3 linked regions of the Callithrix jacchus genome follow. The protein of the gene in region 1 purifies or fractionates together with the protein of each later gene. This does not show direct contact. Links are inferred from orthologs where the notes say so. Each region holds a gene or a part of one and is shown in the gene's direction. Other genes may lie near its edges.

Region 1 (6,281 bases):
AGGCGCCTGCAGTCCCAGCTACTCAGGAAGCTGAGAAGAGCGTTGCTTGAACCTGGGAGACAGAGGTTGCATGAACCGAGATCGCACCATTGCACTCCAGTCTCAGTGACAGAGTGAGACTCTGTCTCAGAAAAAAAAGAGCTCCAATCTGATCAGCTAGAAACTGTGTGGCCTGCCTCTATAGTGCTATTCCTATTTATCCTTTCCTTTCTATTTTCATGGCTACCATCTCTTACCTTTGCTTCTCCTCCTCTTTAATCATTGCTATTCAACATTTATTAATATTTCTCAAATATAACGATGACATCATCCTCCATACAAAATCATACAGCTCCCTTGGCCACAAAATAGGATGCAGAGTTGGGTGTGCTGGTGCAAGCCTGTATTTTCCCAGCTATTTGGGGGACCAAGGTGAGACTGCTTGAGCTCAGTTTAAGGCCAGTGTGTGAAACACCGCAATATCCCTCCCCCTCCCCACTTTGTTATTTGAGACAGGGTCTCACTCTGTTACCCAGGCTGGAGTGCACTGGTGCAATCACGATTCACTGCAGCTTCAACCTCCTGCGTTCAGGAGTTCCTCCTGCTTCAGGCTCTGAAGGTGCTAAGATTTCAAGGTGTGAGCCAGCATGCCAGGCTCCTATGTCTCTTTTTTTCTGAGACAGAGCTTTGTGCTTTCACCCAGACTGCAGTGTAATGGCAGGATCTCAGCTCACTGCGACCTCCACCTCCCAGGTTCAAGTGTTTCTTCTGCCTTAGCCTCCCAAGTAGCTCGGATTAGAGGCATGAGCCAACATGCCCCTATGTCTCTTAAAAAGTGAAATTGATGGCTGGGTAGGGTGGTTCACACCAGTAATCCCAGCACTTTGGGAGACTGAGGCAGGTGGACCACGAGGTCAGGAGTTTGAGACCAGCCTGGCCAACACGGTGAAACCCCGTCTCTACTAAAAATGCAAAAAATTAGCTGGGCATGGTGGCACGTGCCTGTAATCCCAGCTACTCAGGAGGCTGAAGCAGGAGAATTGCCTGAACCCAGGAGGTGGACGTTGCGGTGAGCCGAGATCACGCCATTGCACTCCAGCCTGGGTAACAAGAGTGAAACTCCGTCTCAAAAAAAAAAAAAAAAATTATATATACACACACACACATAAAAATTAGCGGGGTATGGTGATGGGTGTCTATAATCCCAGCTACTCGGGAGGCTGAGGCAGGAGAATTGCTTGAACCCAGGAGGTGGAGGTTGCAGTGTGCCAAGTGCACTCCAGCCTGGGTGACAGAGCAAGACTCCATCTCGGAAAAAAAAAAAAATTGATTTAAACTTCTTACTATCCCAGGTCCTTCACAATTTGATTCTAACCTACCTTTTTTTTTTGTTGTCATTGTTGAGATGGAGTTTCCCTCTGTCACCCAGGCTGGAGTGCAATGGGGGAATCTTGGCTCACCACAACCTCTGCCTCCTGGGTTCAAGCGATTCTCCTGCTTCAGCCTCTCGAGTGGCTGAGATTACAGGTATATTATTGTTTTAAATAGAGACGGGATTTCTCTATGTTGGTCAGGCTGGTTTCAAACTCCTGACCTCAGGTGATCCACCTGCCTCACCCTCCCAAAGTGCTGGGATTACAGGTGTGAGCCACCACTCTGGGCCCTACCTTTTTCTTTCTTTCTGTTTTTGTTTTGTTTTGTTTCTTGAGTCAGGGTTTCACAGTTGCCCAGGCAGGGGTGCAGCTGCACTAACATGGCTCACTTTAGCCCGGACCTCCCAAGCTCAGGCAATCCTCCTACCGAAGTCTCTTGGGTAGCTGGGACCACAGGTGACATCACCATGGCTGGCTAATTAAAAACAAAGTTTTTTGTAGAGATGGCATCTCGCTATGTTGTCTAGGCTGGTCTCAAACTCCTGGGCTCAAGTGATTCTCCTGCCTCAGCCTCCCAAGGCCCAGGCACTGAAGCAATGTTCCCTGAGTTATTCCTGCCTCCTCAATCTTAAATTGATCTCAGTTCGACTATTCTATACTATGTACTCCACACCATCCTCTTCTAACAATTTCCCTGCTCCCATTCATGGCAGCCTCTGGGGAAAAAAGGTTAAACAGGAGAAGATAAAGATGAGTGTGAGGGCAAAGTGGAGGCGTGAAAACTGCAGCTCCCCTGTCCCTGCCAACTGTAATAGGGCCCAGTGTTGTTTTTTTTTTCAGATGGAGTTTTGCTCTTGTTGACCAGGCTGGAGTGCAATGGCGCCGTCTTGGCTCAACGCACCCTCCCCCTCCCGGTTTGAAATGATTCTGTTGCGTCAATCTCCGGAGTAGCTGGGATTACAGGCGCCCCCCACCGCGCCCGCCTCATATGTACATTGTTTAGTAGAGACGGGGTTTCGCCAAGTTGGCCAGAATGGTCTTGAACTCCCAACTTCAGTGATCCGCTGGCCTCGGCCTCCCAAACTGCTAGGATGGCAGGAGTGAGTCACCGCGCCGGGGCCAGGGCCCAGCTCTTTACCCTGAGGGTAAAAGTGTCTGCAAAAGGCCCACGACCAGGCTTGGCGGAGAAAACCAGGACGCTGGCTGGGCTCGGTGGCTCACGCCTGTTATCCCAGCATTTTGGGAGGCCGAGGCGGGCGGATCACCTGAGGTCAGGAGTTCGAGACCAGACTGGCCAAGATGAAGAAACCCCCTTCGCTACGAAAAGTACAAAAATCAGTCGGGCGTGGAGCCGCATGCCTGTAATCCCAGCTGCTCGCGAGGCTGAGGCGGGAGAATCTCTTGAACCCGGGAGGCGGAGGTTGCAGGGAGCCGAGATCGCGCCATCGCACTCCAGCCTGGACGATAGGGTGAAATTCCATCTCAAAAAAATAGAAAAAGAAAAAGGAAAAAGAAAACCAGGGCGCGGTAGAAACAGCGCTGATTTCAGGCAGGAAGACCTGCTATGATGACAGAAACCGTCCCAGCCTCCGTGGTGGTTTTCCGCAGGCCGGACGTCGGCCGTCAGTCTGGCCCAGGTCTCGCGCCCGCGGTTTTCAGGAGCAGCCCGGGCCGGCCTGGCCACCGCCGTCGTGTTCCCCGGGGGCCGCTCCCTCGCGGCAGTCGCAGTTCCCGCCTCTAGGCCCCGGCGCCCGCTGAGCGGACGGAGGAGGGGCGTCTCCGGCGCAGGTTCCAGGACCCGCCCCCCGCGCCAGTTGCCAGGGAGCGGTTGCCATAGAGCTGAGCAGTTGTCCGCGTGCGCAGGCGGAAGTCCCGGATTGAGGCGCCGCCATTTTTGCTGCCCGGACGCGGAGCGAAAGGCTGAGAGAGTCGTAGACACTATCCGTTTCCATCCGTCGCGCAGACCCTGCCGGAGCCGCTGCCGCTATGGATGATCGGGAGGATCTGGTGTACCAGGCGAAGCTGGCCGAGCAGGCTGAGCGATACGACGGTGAGTTGTGGGGGCAACGGGGGGCTGGAATTCTTGGACCCTCTGCCGCCGCCCACAGAGGCCGGGAACGGGAGACAAAATGGCGGCATCGTCCGCGAGCGTGGCCCGGGGACTTGGGTTCGGGGAGCGGAACCTGGCTTGGGAACTCCCGGAGCGACGGGAGGCCGTGTGCCCCGGAATGTGACCCCTTCGCTGTCCTCAGCTACACATACCTCGCGGGCCGAGAGGCCGGGGTGGAGGAGTTGGTTGTAAAATGGCGGCTGGGGGGAGGGCGAATCCCGGGGCGGGGGAGGGGGAGGAGATGGCGGGCGCTGCCGCGGAACCGGCCACCCCCAGGGAAGCTTCCGGGACGGCCTTGGGAGGTGGAGAACGATTGGGTAGGGTGACGGGGGAAGCAGCACCCTCCACACGGGAGAGCGCCAAGACCGGGAGCTGTAGCGCGGGCGCCTTTCAGGGAAATATGGCGGGTGGGGGCGGTGGCTTCTCCCCGGAGGCTTCGTGTGGGGCGGCGGCCGTGGAGTCTCACAAAGGAGAGCCTGGAACGCGATGCGCTTCCTCGGGCCTGGGTCGGGAGGCCGCCCTGGGTGACAGCGGGGAGCGGGCGAGCGAGCATCGCTGCTCTGGGTCCTGGGCGGTGGCGGGCTGCGGGGCCGCGGTCGGGTTTGTTTTGCGTCCGCCGGCGCCGCGGAGTGAGGGGTTTCGGGCTTTTCCCCCCTCGCCGCCTTCCGGGGAGGTCCAGAAGATCCGGGCTCCCGCCCCTTTTCCGCGCTCTAAATGGTGAAGCTCGAAGTTCCTGTAACCTTTCTCTGGCTCCGTCAGCAGCGGGTTCTGATGGATGGAACCAGGAGACCAGGGGGCTGCGCGACTCTGGGTTCGAGCCTTCGTCCTCGCGTTTGGGAAAACGATGACTTTACAGTTTGTCCGCACCCTCATGACACATGGGAAAAAAAAGACCTGTTGAAATAAAGTTGTTTCCAGTAGCGTTTAGTAACTGTATTTTGGTTGACTCTGCAGGCTCGAAATGCGGGTTTGTACTTCGTGGGGGACCTTTGCCTCTTCCAGGCACTCGGCTGGGCCTGGGGTCTTTGAGTTATGAAGGTTGGAGGTCCTATTCTTTTTTTTTATTATTATTTTTTATTTTAAATAAGTGGGTTTATGTAGGACTTTGAGTAGTTCCTCTTTGCTCATTGTCCCTTTGCCCTTAATTGGTTCTTCAGTCCTCTTTCAGAACTTGATCGAAATATCCATTGTGTCTGCCAGGAAGTTTCTTCTTCATCCTCCCCCCCATCCACCTTTTTTGACCTGTAGACTTGAATTTCCCTCACATTTAGAATTTTTCGATACTGTGGTATTACCGAAACCAGAAGTCCTGTATGCGGCTGCTGTGGTTTTCATGCTTTTGCATGGTACGGTGGGGTGAGACATGGTTGGAATCTAGTGTCCTTGATGTGAGATTTTTCCTGGTTAAGCTACCTATATTTCAAAATGTTTCAGAGGGCCATTGCTTTCCTGGAAATGCCGATTTGGTCATGTGAATAACCTCAGGGCTGGTTCCCATTATCAGAAATGAGGATTCAGGGATTTGAAAATAAGACAAGTCCTCTAGAGCTCAAATATACGAAATATGCTGAACTAAATTTCGTCTTGTAAATTCTTTGTTATTTGTATTGAACAAAGTTGCTGTTGGGGGAGGGAAGGGATAAAATGGGGAAGTACAGCTCAAGGTCAGCTCTCTTTATTTCAGTGTTGAAAAATCAAACAAATAGGTGTGCTTATATTGGAAGACTCCCCTCCGCCCTCATCTCCAGATGTTCCCCTCTTCATCTATTAGTGTTCTCCGTAGGAAACAAATGATACTTGAATGCTTTCTGTTTTGTGGGGATTGGGGCTATTTAATTAAACTGGCTGTGGTAACTAGAAAGAATGTGAGTTTTTTTTTTTTAAACCGATTGGAAAGCTTATGATTGTAGTTTCCAAATAAATTACAGGTTATTGTAGTTATATTTTGGCGTGAGGATTTCTGACCAGAACCTTTATTGGGTTTTGAACGTAGGATTCTTTGATACGGCCACAATATTGCAGTTATTAATGTTAGGTGTCCCTTTCAGCATCTAAAGCGGTAGGAAAATAGATCTCCAAGGTGAGGAGCTCTTCCTGTGACTTGGGCATAAGGTAAGGACTCAGTAGAAAGGGGAGGGGAGACAGACACCAGGAATCGGCCTCTGTCTTTGTCCATTCCTTTATTTAGGGCAATATTTTTTTGTTTGTGGTGACAAAAAGTTTTTCCCTTAGTTCTAGTCACCAAATGGAATTGATCAAGTGTGGGGAGGGGGTGGGACTGGTGGAAGAAGCTAAGAGTATTGGCAGGATTTCTTTTTTGGGTGCTTGTATGCAAGTGCTGGTTTTCCAGCTGTCCTTCGCTCTTATCTCCCTGTACTGCAGTAGGTTTATTTTGTTTTGCTTGCTGTGTTAAACGAGTGCCTAAACTTCTTTGTAGCCTCATTTAATTCTGTCCTGGGGCATTGGAATCAATTTATATGGATTATTTAATGGTACGGGAGGAAGAGTTAAGTTGTGTTCAGGAAAAGGACAATTTTGGGTCACAGGAAATACTGAAGTTTGGGGCTAGGAGTTGAAGATTACATCTAGCATCTCATTACTTTAACAAGCTAGTGGTCTAAGGAATAGTTTTTACATCGTTTAAAACCATGTTAAGCAAGTCCATCATTTAACATTTCTCAAGTAAGTCTTACCGTCCCATATACAAATTGGTACAAAAACGTGGGGAATAGGCTGGGTGCGGTGGCTCAGGCCTGTCATCCCAGGACTTTGGGAGGCCAAGGTGGGTGGGTCACCTGAGGTCAGGAGTTCAAGACCAG
Region 2 (6,181 bases), on another chromosome or scaffold:
TTAATTAATTGAAATTATGCTATAAAGAAGAGCTTCTCCATTTATATACTATTCAGTTTTTAATTTACATCAGCATAGGCTCCTGGGTATTCATTTTGTTCTGTGGGTTGCAACCCAGTACTACCATCATTGGTGTTGTTGCTCTAATTATTCCAGCCTTGACCATTGGGAGCTCTTTCAGGTTGGCTCCTGTTCTCATTTTCTTTTTAAAAATAATTTTGTAACTTTTCATCTTGAAATGAATTCAGACTTTTAAAAATTGCAGAGAAAAGAGTTCAGAAAATTCCTTCCTACCCCATTCATTTATTTAGTTAGTTGTTTGTATCATTACAGACACATGTGATTTTTATTCTATGGGTTATAATTCATTCCTGTCTTTACTTATTTTGTCGCTCAAATTGTCTCAAATTAGGCCATTATCTCTGGTGCCTTTTAAGTGTATATAAACTGACCTTCAGATTTTTTTCCTCAGAAAACGTTGAGAGCCATGCTGGTATATACTCCTTGCCACAGTTTAGCAGAAAGAATCAAACTTCAGAGACTTCTCCGGCCAGTTGTAGACACCATCCTAGTCAAATGTGCAGATGCCAATAGGTAAGGCTTTGTTGATGAACCACTTGAAACCATCTTGTCTTAAAAGTGCCTTGCAGCAAGCCTCACACCTAGTGAATGCCTGATACATTTTATTAAATGAGTCTTTGAACACTGTATTTTAATCCAAGATTTAAAATGAAAGTGCAGCACTTAAAGCTCTTAAGGACTGGGGAAAAGAACTGCCAGCAAGTAGAAGCCAGGCTGACAAACTGCATGGATCTCCACATTATTGTATTGTGATTTATTCTCTTAAATAACATTCATAATCTGAAGTCCAGTTGATAAGAATGATAGTTGACATTTATATTCATAAGGTATAATCTCATTTTAGAGTATGGATTACACAGGATAGGAACCAGTAAGATCATTACAGCCACATATGCCTTAATATCAGGATAAAAAATTAACAAATGCATCTCATTATTTTCAGTGTAATGGAATTTTATTCTAAATTATGACAGTTTTTGTCAAAAAATTTTTAGATTTTTTTTTTTATTTTCCTGCAATATCCTTGAAAATTGTCAGGGATCAAGAATAACCCTAACTGGAAAGAAAAATGTGAAGTAGAGAAGTAAGATACAATGACAGTAAAAACAAATATAAGCCATGCTTTTTTTAGACCAATAGTTCTCTATTATTTTTCCCTTCCATAAAATAGGAGGCAAAGATCACTTTTCATGTAATAATCACAGCTCCCATGAATAGTTGTTTGGTAGTTCCTGTTTCTTTCTAGCCCAGCAGATCTTGGTTAGCAAGAAGTGTTGAATCTCCCTTGCCTCTTCCATTTCACCCATTTTGAGGTCTGTCAGTACCTTTCTCTTCCTCTTCAAGTCATAATGACTTAGTTTGCACAGGATCTCAAAAATTAGGTACCTACGTTTAACTAATTTCTCATCTAATGAAGTCTGTCTTTTGCCTCTGTTGTTTTCCCTATAGATTGAAAATGTCAGATGTTTTCTTTTCACTTAGGGAAAACATTGTAAATATTTTTAAAATGGGCAAATTAACAAGCAGTTTGCAAAGTGCATAGGAAAATGTCAGTTTTCAATATTAGAATAGGTATTTTTCTGAGAATTCAGTGATCTCATGGTGTTTGTTGTGCTGCTTACTTTCTGAAATTCTAAAGTTTGGTGGTTTACCTGGTCACCTGAATGACTGAACATAAGAAATACTGTAGAGAGATATTATAATATTCAGAACCTCATTCTGGCTATGTAAGGGAATGTAGGATTTTTGGATGGGAAGATTTTGTTTTTAATTCAAGAGATTCTTAGTGAAAGTTCAGAAATCAAAATGTCAGCGTCCTTTTTCTTTTTTTTTTAAACAAAATATGATAAGACTTTTATCAGATTTGGTATTTAAATCAATACTTAGAGCCATTGTTGAAGATTCTGTGCTTAACATAGATATATGTTAAATTTATGAAATTAGACCTAATGAATGAATATTACTATTTATGGTGACACCCTTAATGTGATTTCAGTGGTGGAAAAGTAAACACTTCTGAAAACATTATTTCTCCACTTTTTCACAAGGCACTGCATTACTCCTCTAATACTGAATAGTATTTTATCCAAGATCCAAGATTGATATTGCTTTTCTTTTGCTTTTAGCCGCACAAGTCAGCTGTCCATATCAACATTGTTGGAGTTGTGCAAAGGCCAAGCAGGAGAGTTGGCAGTTGGTAGAGAAATACTAAAAGCTGGTAATAACTTTTCACTTAAAATAAATATAACTTATTTTATCATGTTCCTGAGGAGCTTTGTCTAATCTCATAATCTCTCATGAGGCAGTTACAAGATTTTGAAGTACTTTTATAAATTGATTCATTGTGTTACAGTTAAATATGTGAATTAATCTGAGAGAGAAATTCTTTAAAATAGTTGAGAACATTTTTGTTGGCTTTATACCATTTATGTCTTGTTTTAGATTTTAATATCACTATTTTTTAATCATTTATTTTTACTCTCCTTTTTGTAGGATCCATTGGTATTGGTGGTGTTGATTATGTCTTAAATTGTATTCTTGGAAACCAAACTGAATCAAACAACTGGCAAGAACTCCTTGGCCGCCTTTGTCTTATAGACAGACTGTTGTTGGAATTTCCTGCTGAATTTTATCCTCATATTGTCAGTACTGATGTTTCACAAGCTGAGCCTGTTGAAATCAGGTAATTTTTCTTCTGAAAATGTATTACTTGTATCTTCCTACCCTTCCTGCATGCTCCTCAAGAATGACACATTTTAGATTTATGAAAGACTCAGAAACTACAGAGCATAAGTAGGCTGCTGATAATTTAATATTTGGTTGACATATGAAACCCTGAAGTCTAAGGTGTTTAATTTAAAATTTATAGATACTTTATGCTGAAATGGTTTTTGAAGTATATATACATCCTGTAAATTACTACCATTTTTTAAGTTTCCATGTACTTTTCAGTAATCAGAACTTACATGGTAATGAATGTTTTTTTCTTTCAGGTATAAGAAGCTGCTGTCCCTCTTAACCTTTGCTTTACAGTCCATTGATAATTCTCACTCAATGGTTGGTAAACTTTCCAGAAGGATCTACTTGAGTTCTGCAAGAATGGTCACTGCAGTACCCCATGTGTTTTCAAAACTGTTAGAAATGCTGAGTGTTTCCAGTTCCACTCACTTCACCAGGATGCGTCGCCGTTTGATGGCTATTGCAGATGAGGTGGAAATTGCTGAAGCCATCGAGTTGGGCGTAGAAGACAATTTGGATAGTCAACAGGATGGCTTTTTGCAGGCATCTGTCCCCAGCAACTATCCAGAAACCACAGAGAACAGTTCCCCTGAGTGTACAATCCATTTAGACAAAACTGGAAAAGGATTATGTGCTACAAAATTGAGTGCCAGTTCAGAGAACATTTCTGACAGACTGGCCAGCATTTCACTAGGACCTCCTAGTTCAACAACAACAGAGCAACCAAAGCCAATGGTTCAAACAAAAGGCAGACCCCACAGTCAGTGTTTGAACTCCTCTCCTTTATCTCATCATTCCCAATTAATGTTCCCAGCCTTGTCAACCCCTTCTTCTTCAGCCCCATCTGTACCAGCTGGCACTGCAACAGATGTCTCTAAGCATAGACTTCAGGGATTCGTTCCCTGCAAAATACCTTCTGCATCTCCTCAAACACAGCGCAAGTTTTCTCTACAATTCCAGAGAAACTGTCCTGAAAACAAAGACTCAGATAAACTTTCCCCAGTCTTTACTCAGTCAAGACCCTTGCCCTCCAGTAACATACACAGGCCAAAGCCATCTCGACCTACCCCAGGTAATACAAGTAAACAGGGAGATCCCTCAAAAAATAGCATGACACTTGATCTGAACAGTAGTTCCAAATGTGATGACAGCTTTGGCTGTAGCAGCAATAGTAGTAATGCTGTTATACCCAGTGATGAGACAGTGTTCACCCCAGTAGAGGAGAAATGCAGATTAGATGTCAATACAGAGCTCAACTCCAGTATTGAGGACCTTCTTGAAGCATCTATGCCTTCAAGTGATACAACAGTAACTTTTAAGTCAGAAGTTGCTGTCCTGTCTCCTGAAAAGGCTGAAAATGATGATACCTACAAAGATGATGTGAATCATAATCAGAAGTGCAAAGAAAAGATGGAAGCTGAAGAAGAAGAAGCTTTAGCAATTGCCATGGCAATGTCAGCGTCTCAGGATGCCCTCCCCATAGTTCCTCAGCTGCAGGTTGAAAATGGAGAAGATATCATCATTATTCAACAGGATGTAAGTATAGATTCTTTAAGAGGTTACTTGGGGCTGGGCAGTGACTCACACCTGTAATTCCAGCACTTTGGGAGGCTGAGGTGGAAGGATTGCCTGAGCACAGGAGTTTGAGACCAGCCTGGGTGACAAAGCAAGACCCTGTCTCTACAAAAAATTGTTTTAAAAATTAGCCAGTCATTATAGTGCATGCCTGGTGTCCCAGCTACTCCGGAGGCTGAGGTGGGAGGGTCACTTGAACTTGGGAATTTGAGGCTGCAGTGAGCTGTGATTACACCACTGTACTCCAGCCTAAATGACAGAGCAAGAAACTCTCAAAAAGAGTTTCCCTGGACCATGCTGAAATCTAATTCAGAAATGTTGCTTCTAACATGAGTTAATCATTGCAAACAGGTCTTTCGATGTAAAATTATTAATTACACAACAACAACATTTTAGCAATACTTCTTGCCTATATAAAAGGCATTTCTAGTTAATTCTATAATGGTGATCATTTTTGCATTTGACATTGGTCACCAGTAATTTCCATTCAGAGGTCACATTTATAGGTGGTTTGGGAGGCCAAACTGAACAAGAATAATATCTTGCCAGACTAATTTCCCAAAATCTTACTCCTTTAACAGTAAAAAGATTGCTTTCATTTAATATGTAGACACCAGAGACTCTACCAGGACATACCAAAGCAAAACAACCATATAGAGAAGACACTGAATGGCTGAAAGGTCAGCAGATAGGCCTTGGAGCATTTTCTTCTTGTTACCAGGCTCAAGATGTGGGAACTGGAACTTTAATGGCTGTTAAACAGGTAAATATATAGCGAGCATATAAATGAAATCATGAAATGAAGCATATTCAATAAAAAGAACAAAAAATATGTCTACATGTGTGTGTACTTTAGTTCTTTAAAGTTTGAGAAACTTGAATTTCAAAGTAGATGTTTCCAAAGTACCAGAAACATCATGAATTCTGTTATTAAAAGTTGAGGCTGGGCGCAGTGGCTCACGCCTCTAATGCCAGCACTTTGGGAGGCTGAGGGTGGTTGCATCATTTGAGGTCAGGAGTTCAGGACCAGTCTGGCCAACATGGTGAAACCCTGCCTCTATTAACAGTACAAAAATTGGCCAGGCATGGTGGTGGGCGCCTGTAGTCACAGCTACTCAGAAGGCTGAGGCAGGAGAATCGCTTGAACCTGCGAGGTGGAGGTTGCATTGGGCCAAGATTGCACACTGTCCTCTAGCCTCAGTGACAGAGCAAGACTCCTCCTCAAATAAAATAAATAAAAGTTGAAGTATGATTATTGTAAAACTACAGTATCAAGATGGCCTTAAAAATGTTTTTTGGTTTTGCTTTTTGTAGGTATTAGAAGTGTGGTTTTCAGGTACTTCTTTCAGCTGTGTACTGATGGAGTGCCATCTTGGGGTTTCATTGGTTTACTTTTTATAATGAGCATACTTATCCTAACTCTCATTTTTAAATCATGTTGATTTTTCCATATTTGAGCTTTTCTCATTTTTACTCTGAGACTACTGGAATATTGACTGTATCCCAGCATTTTTATCATTTTTCTGATGTTTACTGCTGCTTAAGCTAGATTCTTAATGTTTAAAAGAGTTTTTTTTTTTTTAAGTACGCTGCATCCATGAGCATAAATGCCATCTAATATATATGCTAGTTTGCATTTGTTCATTTGAGATCAGATTGCTGGGGAAAATATGCAGAACTTTGTGAACATGTTTATTTGATTGAAACAGGTGACGTATGTCAGGAACACATCTTCTGAGCAAGAAGAAGTGGTAGAAGCATTAAGAGAAGAGATAAGAATGATGAG
Region 3 (6,281 bases), on another chromosome or scaffold:
ATGCGAATTCTGATCTATATAACTGGGAGCTAACAAATAGACACTGTCTTAAGTCACGAAATCTGTGGCAGTTCGTTGTGCAGCAACAAAAAAGCAACACACCACATCTCCTTTCAGAAGTTATCTCTCACTTCCCCAGGCACATCTGTGACATCTTCCTCTTGCTGCTGTGGCACCCGACACACCTCCCTGCCATGATGCAGGTCACTCTGTGTTATTATCCATATACCTCTCTGCCCTCCTTACACGATTCTGAGTTCCTGGGCAGTGGTGACTATATAATTTTATCACTGCAATCCCAGGCACAGAGTAGGAAGGCTATATATATATATATATATATATATTTACTGAATGATGATTTCTTCAAGAAAAAAAAATCCCAAGATCACTAATTTGTAATCATATATACTAAAATAACCCAAGATGTTAGAGATTTAATATCTAAGCAAGAGGAAAAGTCACCAATGTAAACGGAGAATGGTAAAAAAGAAAGAATAGCTACTATAACTATATGCATGGGATGTTTCTGAGGAACCTAGAGGTGAATGAAGTCCCCAGGGATGGTAAGTTAGGGAAGAGAGTAGAGAAATGAGCAGAACTATGAGGGGAAAAAAAAAGCTATCTCTAGATTATTTAGTAAACAAGTTTTTACTGAATGCCTGCTACGTGGTAACCGGTAACTGTGGAGAACAATATTAGAGGTTTAAGATTTAAAGGGCCAGGACGGTGGCTCACGCCTGTAATCCCAGCACTTTGGGAGGCTGAGGTGGGCCGATCACAAGGTCAAGAGATTGAGACCATGGTGAAACCCCTTCTCTACTAAAAAATACAAAAATTAGCTGAATGTGGTGGCGTGGGCCTGTGGTCCCAGCTACTCGGGAAGCTGAGGCAGGAGAATTGCTTGAACCCGGGAGGTTGCAGTGAGCCGAGACCGCACCACTGCACTCCAGCCTGGTGCCTGGCAGCAGAGCAAGACTCTGTCTCAAAAAAAAAAAAAAAAAATTTAAATACTATCCTCAGGCATTCTGAGACTCTCCTTTCTGTGGCATATGTCTTAAAATGTTAGATTCAAGAAGGCCTTAGATTTTTATGCATAAAAGTCCTCCTTTTTTTTTTTTCTTTCAGACAGAATTTTGCTCCTGTTGTCCAGGCTGGAGTGCAATGGCACGATCTGGGCTCACCATAACCTCCACCTCCTGGTTCAAGCGATTCTCCTGCTTCAGCTGCAGAGTAGCGGGGATTACAGGCATGCGCCACCATGACCGTCTAATTTTGTATTTTTAATAGAGACGGCGTTTCTCCATATTGGTCGGGCTGGTCTCGAACTTCTGACCTCAGGTGATCTGCCGGCCTCGGGCTCCCAAAATGCTGGGATTACAGGCGTGAGCCACTGCTTTCGGCCCAAAGGGGATCCTTTTTTTTTTTTTTTTTTTTTCTTTGATACGGAGTTTCGCTCCTGTTACCCAGGCTGGAGTGCAATGGCGCGATCTCGGCTCACCGCAACCTCCTCCTCCTGGGTTCAGGCAATTCTGCCTCAGCCTCCTGAGTAGCTGGGATTACAGGCACACGCCACCATGCCCAGCTAATCTTTTGTATTTTTAGTAGAGACAGGGTTTCACCATGTTGACCAGGATGGTCTCGATCTGTTGACCTCGTGATCCACACGCCTCGGCCTCCCAAAGTGCTGGGATTACAGGCGTGAGCCACCGCGCCCGGCCCTGGTGCTCCATTTTTTTAAACAAATAGAAGTAAACTGATTTTCCACTGAGCTGTTTCTGAGGTGCACATCCTCTTTCCTATGCCTTTGACACCTCTGTTAATGGGTTTGTAATACAAATTCCTGGAAGAAACCCAGAGATATTTTGACATTACACAACAGTTTCTCCCTCACAAGTGCCAGCTCCCTTCACCCTCGGAGCTGGGGTAGCTGGGCCGGATGGGTCCCATTCCCATCTCTCTCATTTCAAATGCTGCAGTGGAAACGTGGTCTGGAAAATGAATGAAAGGGGTGGATCCAGAATGTAGGGAGAAACCAAGTAGAAGCTCAACAGAGAATGGTACAGGAAGTTGTAACGAGTATTTAAGGAAAGAAGAGAGGGGGCGGGAAGATGCTTTCTCCGTGGGCGATGAGGAGCGAAGGAAAGGGTTTTAGACTCTAGCTTTGGGGGCTGGGTGTCAACTCATGTCTCTGGGCTGAGGTTTCCACATCTGTAAAGCTGGAGAAGTTAAGACTTGCCTGGCCAACGAAAGTGCACGACCATTGTTACAACCAAGTATCGATGGTGATAAGAACTAAACAGAAAACACAAATAACACTCATCCGGTCTCCAAGGGGGTGGTTTAAGGTTAGGCGGCAAAACTGAAGTAATTTCTAAAGTCCCTTAGGAAAAAAATTCTGAAACTTGAGCCACAAATTAAGAGGCAGATGGCTTTTCGCCTTGCAAACGACCTGCCATAGACTCAGTCGGTCACTGCCTCTGCTAGCTATCTGCTATCCTTGGGCCCCGTAAGCAGCCCACGTGGGAGACCTTTCCCGGGATCTACTCGGACGTCTGGGACATCCCAGACGTCTGGGACCTGCCACTTCAGCAGGCTAGAGACAACCCCGGTGCTTGTGCGCCGCGCACGCGGAACAGCTCAGGCTGCCCGGGGCTAGGGGCGGGCCGAGGCCGGGGCGGAGCCAGGACTGGGAATCCCCGCTCAGTCCGGCCGGTTGTAGGGGGAGGGGGAGGACCGGGCGTGTGTGTGGGCGTTGCGGGCCTCTGCGCAGGCGCCGACCCACTCCCCTTGGCCGGGCGCGCGCCCGCGGCGGGTTCCATCCCGGCGGGCGGAGGGGGGCGCGTGCACGAGCGAGCGGCCGTGACGTGCGCCGCTCTACGCCCGCCGTCACGGGTCTGTGTGTAGTGGCGGCCGGGCTGCCTGCCCTCAGCGGCGGCGCCTGACGAGGGTGCTGCGGCCGCTGGGCGCAGCGTTCGAGGGGCGCACGGCCCGCGGCGGCAACGACGAGGACGAGTAGTGCGCTTGTCCACGGAGTCGCCACTCCCGCCTCTTCTACGGTCTCTGGCAACGCGGGCCCGCGGCTTCCTCCTTTCCTGTCCAGCTCCCCGCGGGCCTCGGGGTTGCAGCAGCGAGAAGCATCGAGGAGCCCCAGGAGGACCTGGCCGGCCGTGAGGATTCACGCGCTTGCCACCCCATTCGGCCTGGGCTTCATGTGAAAGAGGGACGGGCCTGGCTCCCCGGCCCGTGCCGGACTCCTCGCGCGCCCCCCCGGCCCCGGGGGGCCCAGCGGCCGCCCCCGACCGGGCCGCGGTGACAGGCCGCGAGGGGGTGGAGGGGCGGGTTCGGCGGGGGCGGCCCCTCCTTAGGCCTGCGGCTCTCTACGTCCCTGCGGAACAGCCGGTACGTGCGTGTGTGCGTGTGTGTGTGTGTGTGTGTGTGTGTGTGTGTCGGGGCTGAGAAGGGGCTGGCGGCGGCCTAAGCGCCGCTCCGGGTCGGAGGTTTCGATGGTGATTGCCTGGGTCCGGGAGGGTGGACCTTGGGCCCCCTGCAACCGGTTCTGAAGCCCAGGTCAGCGAGAAGTAGGCTGCTGGGCTGTGTTAGTGTCAGACACGTACCCTGCAGAGATTTTAGAAGGAATGATGCAGTTGGTTTTGGGATGAAGCAGAAATGATTTAAGGTTTTTCCCTTTTCTCTTTACGGAATATTTAGGTAGCACTTACGGTGCTGTTAGTCTGTGCCCGGCAGTTGTCGTGATTATCTGTCTTCAGCTTCCCAGCCCAATGGAGTGGGTATATTGCCCCATTTTACAGCTGAAATCTTTGAGGCTCAGAGAAATTAAGGCGTTTGTCCAAGGTCATGAAGCTAGTAATCCAGGAAGACTTGGTTCGAATATGCGGATGGCTTTTTGTAAGACTATTTCTCGCCTTGCAAAAATAAATACGTGAAGAAAATGAGACTAACTGGGCAGTTTCTTTAATGGGGAAAATTCTAAACACATAGGCAGTTACAGTTTATTTTTTCCTAACATAGGCTCTTCGTTGTCTTTTGCCAAATCATTTCTTTGGCTTTAAAAATAAAAAGATGGTTTCAGATACCTTTACTTTCTATGTACTAGTACTGTACAGCAAAAATTTACTGTCTTACAAAAAAGAAATACACTTGGTGAAACGGCATAGATCTTGAAAAGTTACAAGTTGACTTTTGTAGTTTGTCCTTGATGGCTAAAGGGAACTCACAGTGGGTTATTTGCTTGAGATTCCCTTGTTGCAAAATTTGTTGCTGGATTATGAGGCAATTTAGTGATTCGTGCATTGTCTTATGCAATATTTTATAGTTCGATGTGAAATTTTAATGTGTAGAATGTCGTAGAAAGTTTGATGGTGTGATTCTCTTTCATTTATATGGAGTGCTACTTACCAGTGTTTGTAAACTAACTGAAAATTCTCATTTTAGCATGGGTTTTTTTTTTTTTTTTTTTAAACTATGGTCAGGGGAAAAAAAGAGCCAGAGCTCTGTACAGAAAAACAGTTGATACATTCCATTGAGTAATTGAAGCTTTATGCATAATTGCAAATGTTTAAGAAGTCTATTGATGCCCAATTATACTAGTCTGTTATTTTCCTAGTATATTGTCAGGTTGAAGAAAATTTGTGGCCTTGCAGTCTCTGTAAAGAAAAGAAATTACAAAGTTAACATGTTGCTGCTTTACAGATTGATTTGTTGTTTGGTTAAAACATAAACATACGTTGAATCATTTTAGAATGGTTATCTATGTGCCTGTTTTGAGAAACTAGCTGTTAAAGGCTTATCTTAAATAATTGAATTGCATTAGAGACTGAATCTTTTAAGTAATGTTTTAAGTGGAGCTTTTGTTTCTCGTTTACTTTATTAGTACCCAAGCGGTAAACTAATAGGTGCTGTATTAAAATAAAGTCATGTTTGATACTCCACATTTCCTACAGCGTTGGTTTCAGGTTGATTTGCTCTTTCCCTGTAGAATTGTAGCTATTTGCCCCACCTCCCACTTTTTATTATCAAACAATTTCAAGCATACAGAAAATTTGGTAATAGTAAACCACTTGTATGATGACCCTCTAAACATTTGTTGATATCTTGCCATATTTGGTTTATCTATAAGTACATGTACAGGCATACCCTAGAGAGATTGTGGCTTTTGGTTCCAGACCACCGCAATAAAGCAAATGAAGTGAGTCACACAAATTTTTTAGTTTCACATTGCATATAAAGTTATGTTTGCAATATACTATAGTCTATTGTGTGCAATGGCATTATGTCTAAAAGAAATGTATACTTTAATTAAAAATTATTTATTGCTAAAAATTGCTAAAGAACATTACGCCTTTAGAGAGTTGTAATCTTTTTGCTGGTGGAGGGTCTTGCCTCCATGTTGATGGCCGCTGACTAGTAAGTAAGGGTGGTTGATAAGGGTGGTTGTTGAAGTTTGGGATGACTGAGGCAATTTCTTAAAATAAGACATTAGTGAAGTTTGCTGCATCAATGGACTCTTCCTTTCATGAAAGATTTCACTCTAGCATGTGATGTTGTTTGTTACCACTTCAATAATAATCACAGTATCTTCATTGGGAGTAGATTCCATCTCAAGAAGCTACTTTCTGGCCAGGCCGAATGGGGTCACGCTTATAATCCCAGCAGTTTGGGAGGCTGTGGCAGGAGGATTGCTTGCACCAAGCAATTCAAGAACAGCCTTGGCAACATGGCAAAAACCCATTAAAAAAATACAAAAGTTGGCCGGGTACGGTGGCTCACGCCTATAATCCCAGCACTTTGGGAGGCCGAGGTGGGTGGATCACAAGGTCAAGAGATTGAGACCATCTGGTCAACACGGAGAAACCCCGTCTTTACTAAAAATACAAAAATTAGCTGGGCATGGTGGCGCACACCTGTAGTCCCAGCTACTCAGGAGGCTGAGGCAGGAGAATTGCTTGAACCCAGGAGGTGGAGTTGCAGTGAGCTGAGATCGCGCCATTGCACTCCAGCCTTGGTAACAAGAGTGAAACTCTGTCTCAAAAAAAAAAAAAACAAACCCACAAAAGTTAGCTGCTTGTGGTAGTTTGGGAAGCTGAAGCAGGAGGATTGCTTGTGCCAGGGAGGTCAGGGCTGCAGTGAGCTGTGACACTGCACTCTAGCCTGGGCAACAGAGCAAGACCCTGTCTCCAAAAAAAAAAAAAGCGACTTTGTTTCCTCATCCATAAGAAGCAACTTCTTATCCGTTCAAGTTTTAGCTCCACTTCCAATTGTAG

What was found.
Region 2: the proteins of YWHAE (region 1) and MAP3K1 purify together in Homo sapiens (co-immunoprecipitation; 3 studies listed by BioGRID and IntAct, with this or other methods). This does not show direct contact. The link is inferred for Callithrix jacchus from reciprocal best matches to the Homo sapiens genes YWHAE and MAP3K1.
Region 3: the proteins of YWHAE (region 1) and MAP3K2 purify together in Homo sapiens (affinity purification with mass spectrometry; 6 studies listed by BioGRID and IntAct, with this or other methods). This does not show direct contact. The link is inferred for Callithrix jacchus from reciprocal best matches to the Homo sapiens genes YWHAE and MAP3K2.

The regions. Positions count from the first base shown.
Region 1 is NC_133506.1:66,851,331-66,857,611, forward strand, and holds the start of YWHAE (14-3-3 protein epsilon), read left to right. Parts: upstream 1-3,226; 5' UTR 3,227-3,338; coding exon 3,339-3,402; intron 3,403-6,281. UniProt on the Homo sapiens protein: Adapter protein implicated in the regulation of a large spectrum of both general and specialized signaling pathways. Binds to a large number of partners, usually by recognition of a phosphoserine or phosphothreonine motif.
Region 2 is NC_133503.1:152,994,316-153,000,496, reverse strand, and holds part of MAP3K1 (mitogen-activated protein kinase kinase kinase 1), read left to right. Parts: intron 1-472; coding exon 473-594; intron 595-2,207; coding exon 2,208-2,299; intron 2,300-2,574; coding exon 2,575-2,764; intron 2,765-3,074; coding exon 3,075-4,356; intron 4,357-5,005; coding exon 5,006-5,158; intron 5,159-6,104; coding exon 6,105-6,181. UniProt on the Homo sapiens protein: Component of a protein kinase signal transduction cascade. Activates the ERK and JNK kinase pathways by phosphorylation of MAP2K1 and MAP2K4. May phosphorylate the MAPK8/JNK1 kinase.
Region 3 is NC_133507.1:37,086,146-37,092,426, forward strand, and holds the start of MAP3K2 (mitogen-activated protein kinase kinase kinase 2), read left to right. Parts: upstream 1-2,885; 5' UTR 2,886-3,399; intron 3,400-6,281. UniProt on the Homo sapiens protein: Component of a protein kinase signal transduction cascade. Regulates the JNK and ERK5 pathways by phosphorylating and activating MAP2K5 and MAP2K7. Plays a role in caveolae kiss-and-run dynamics.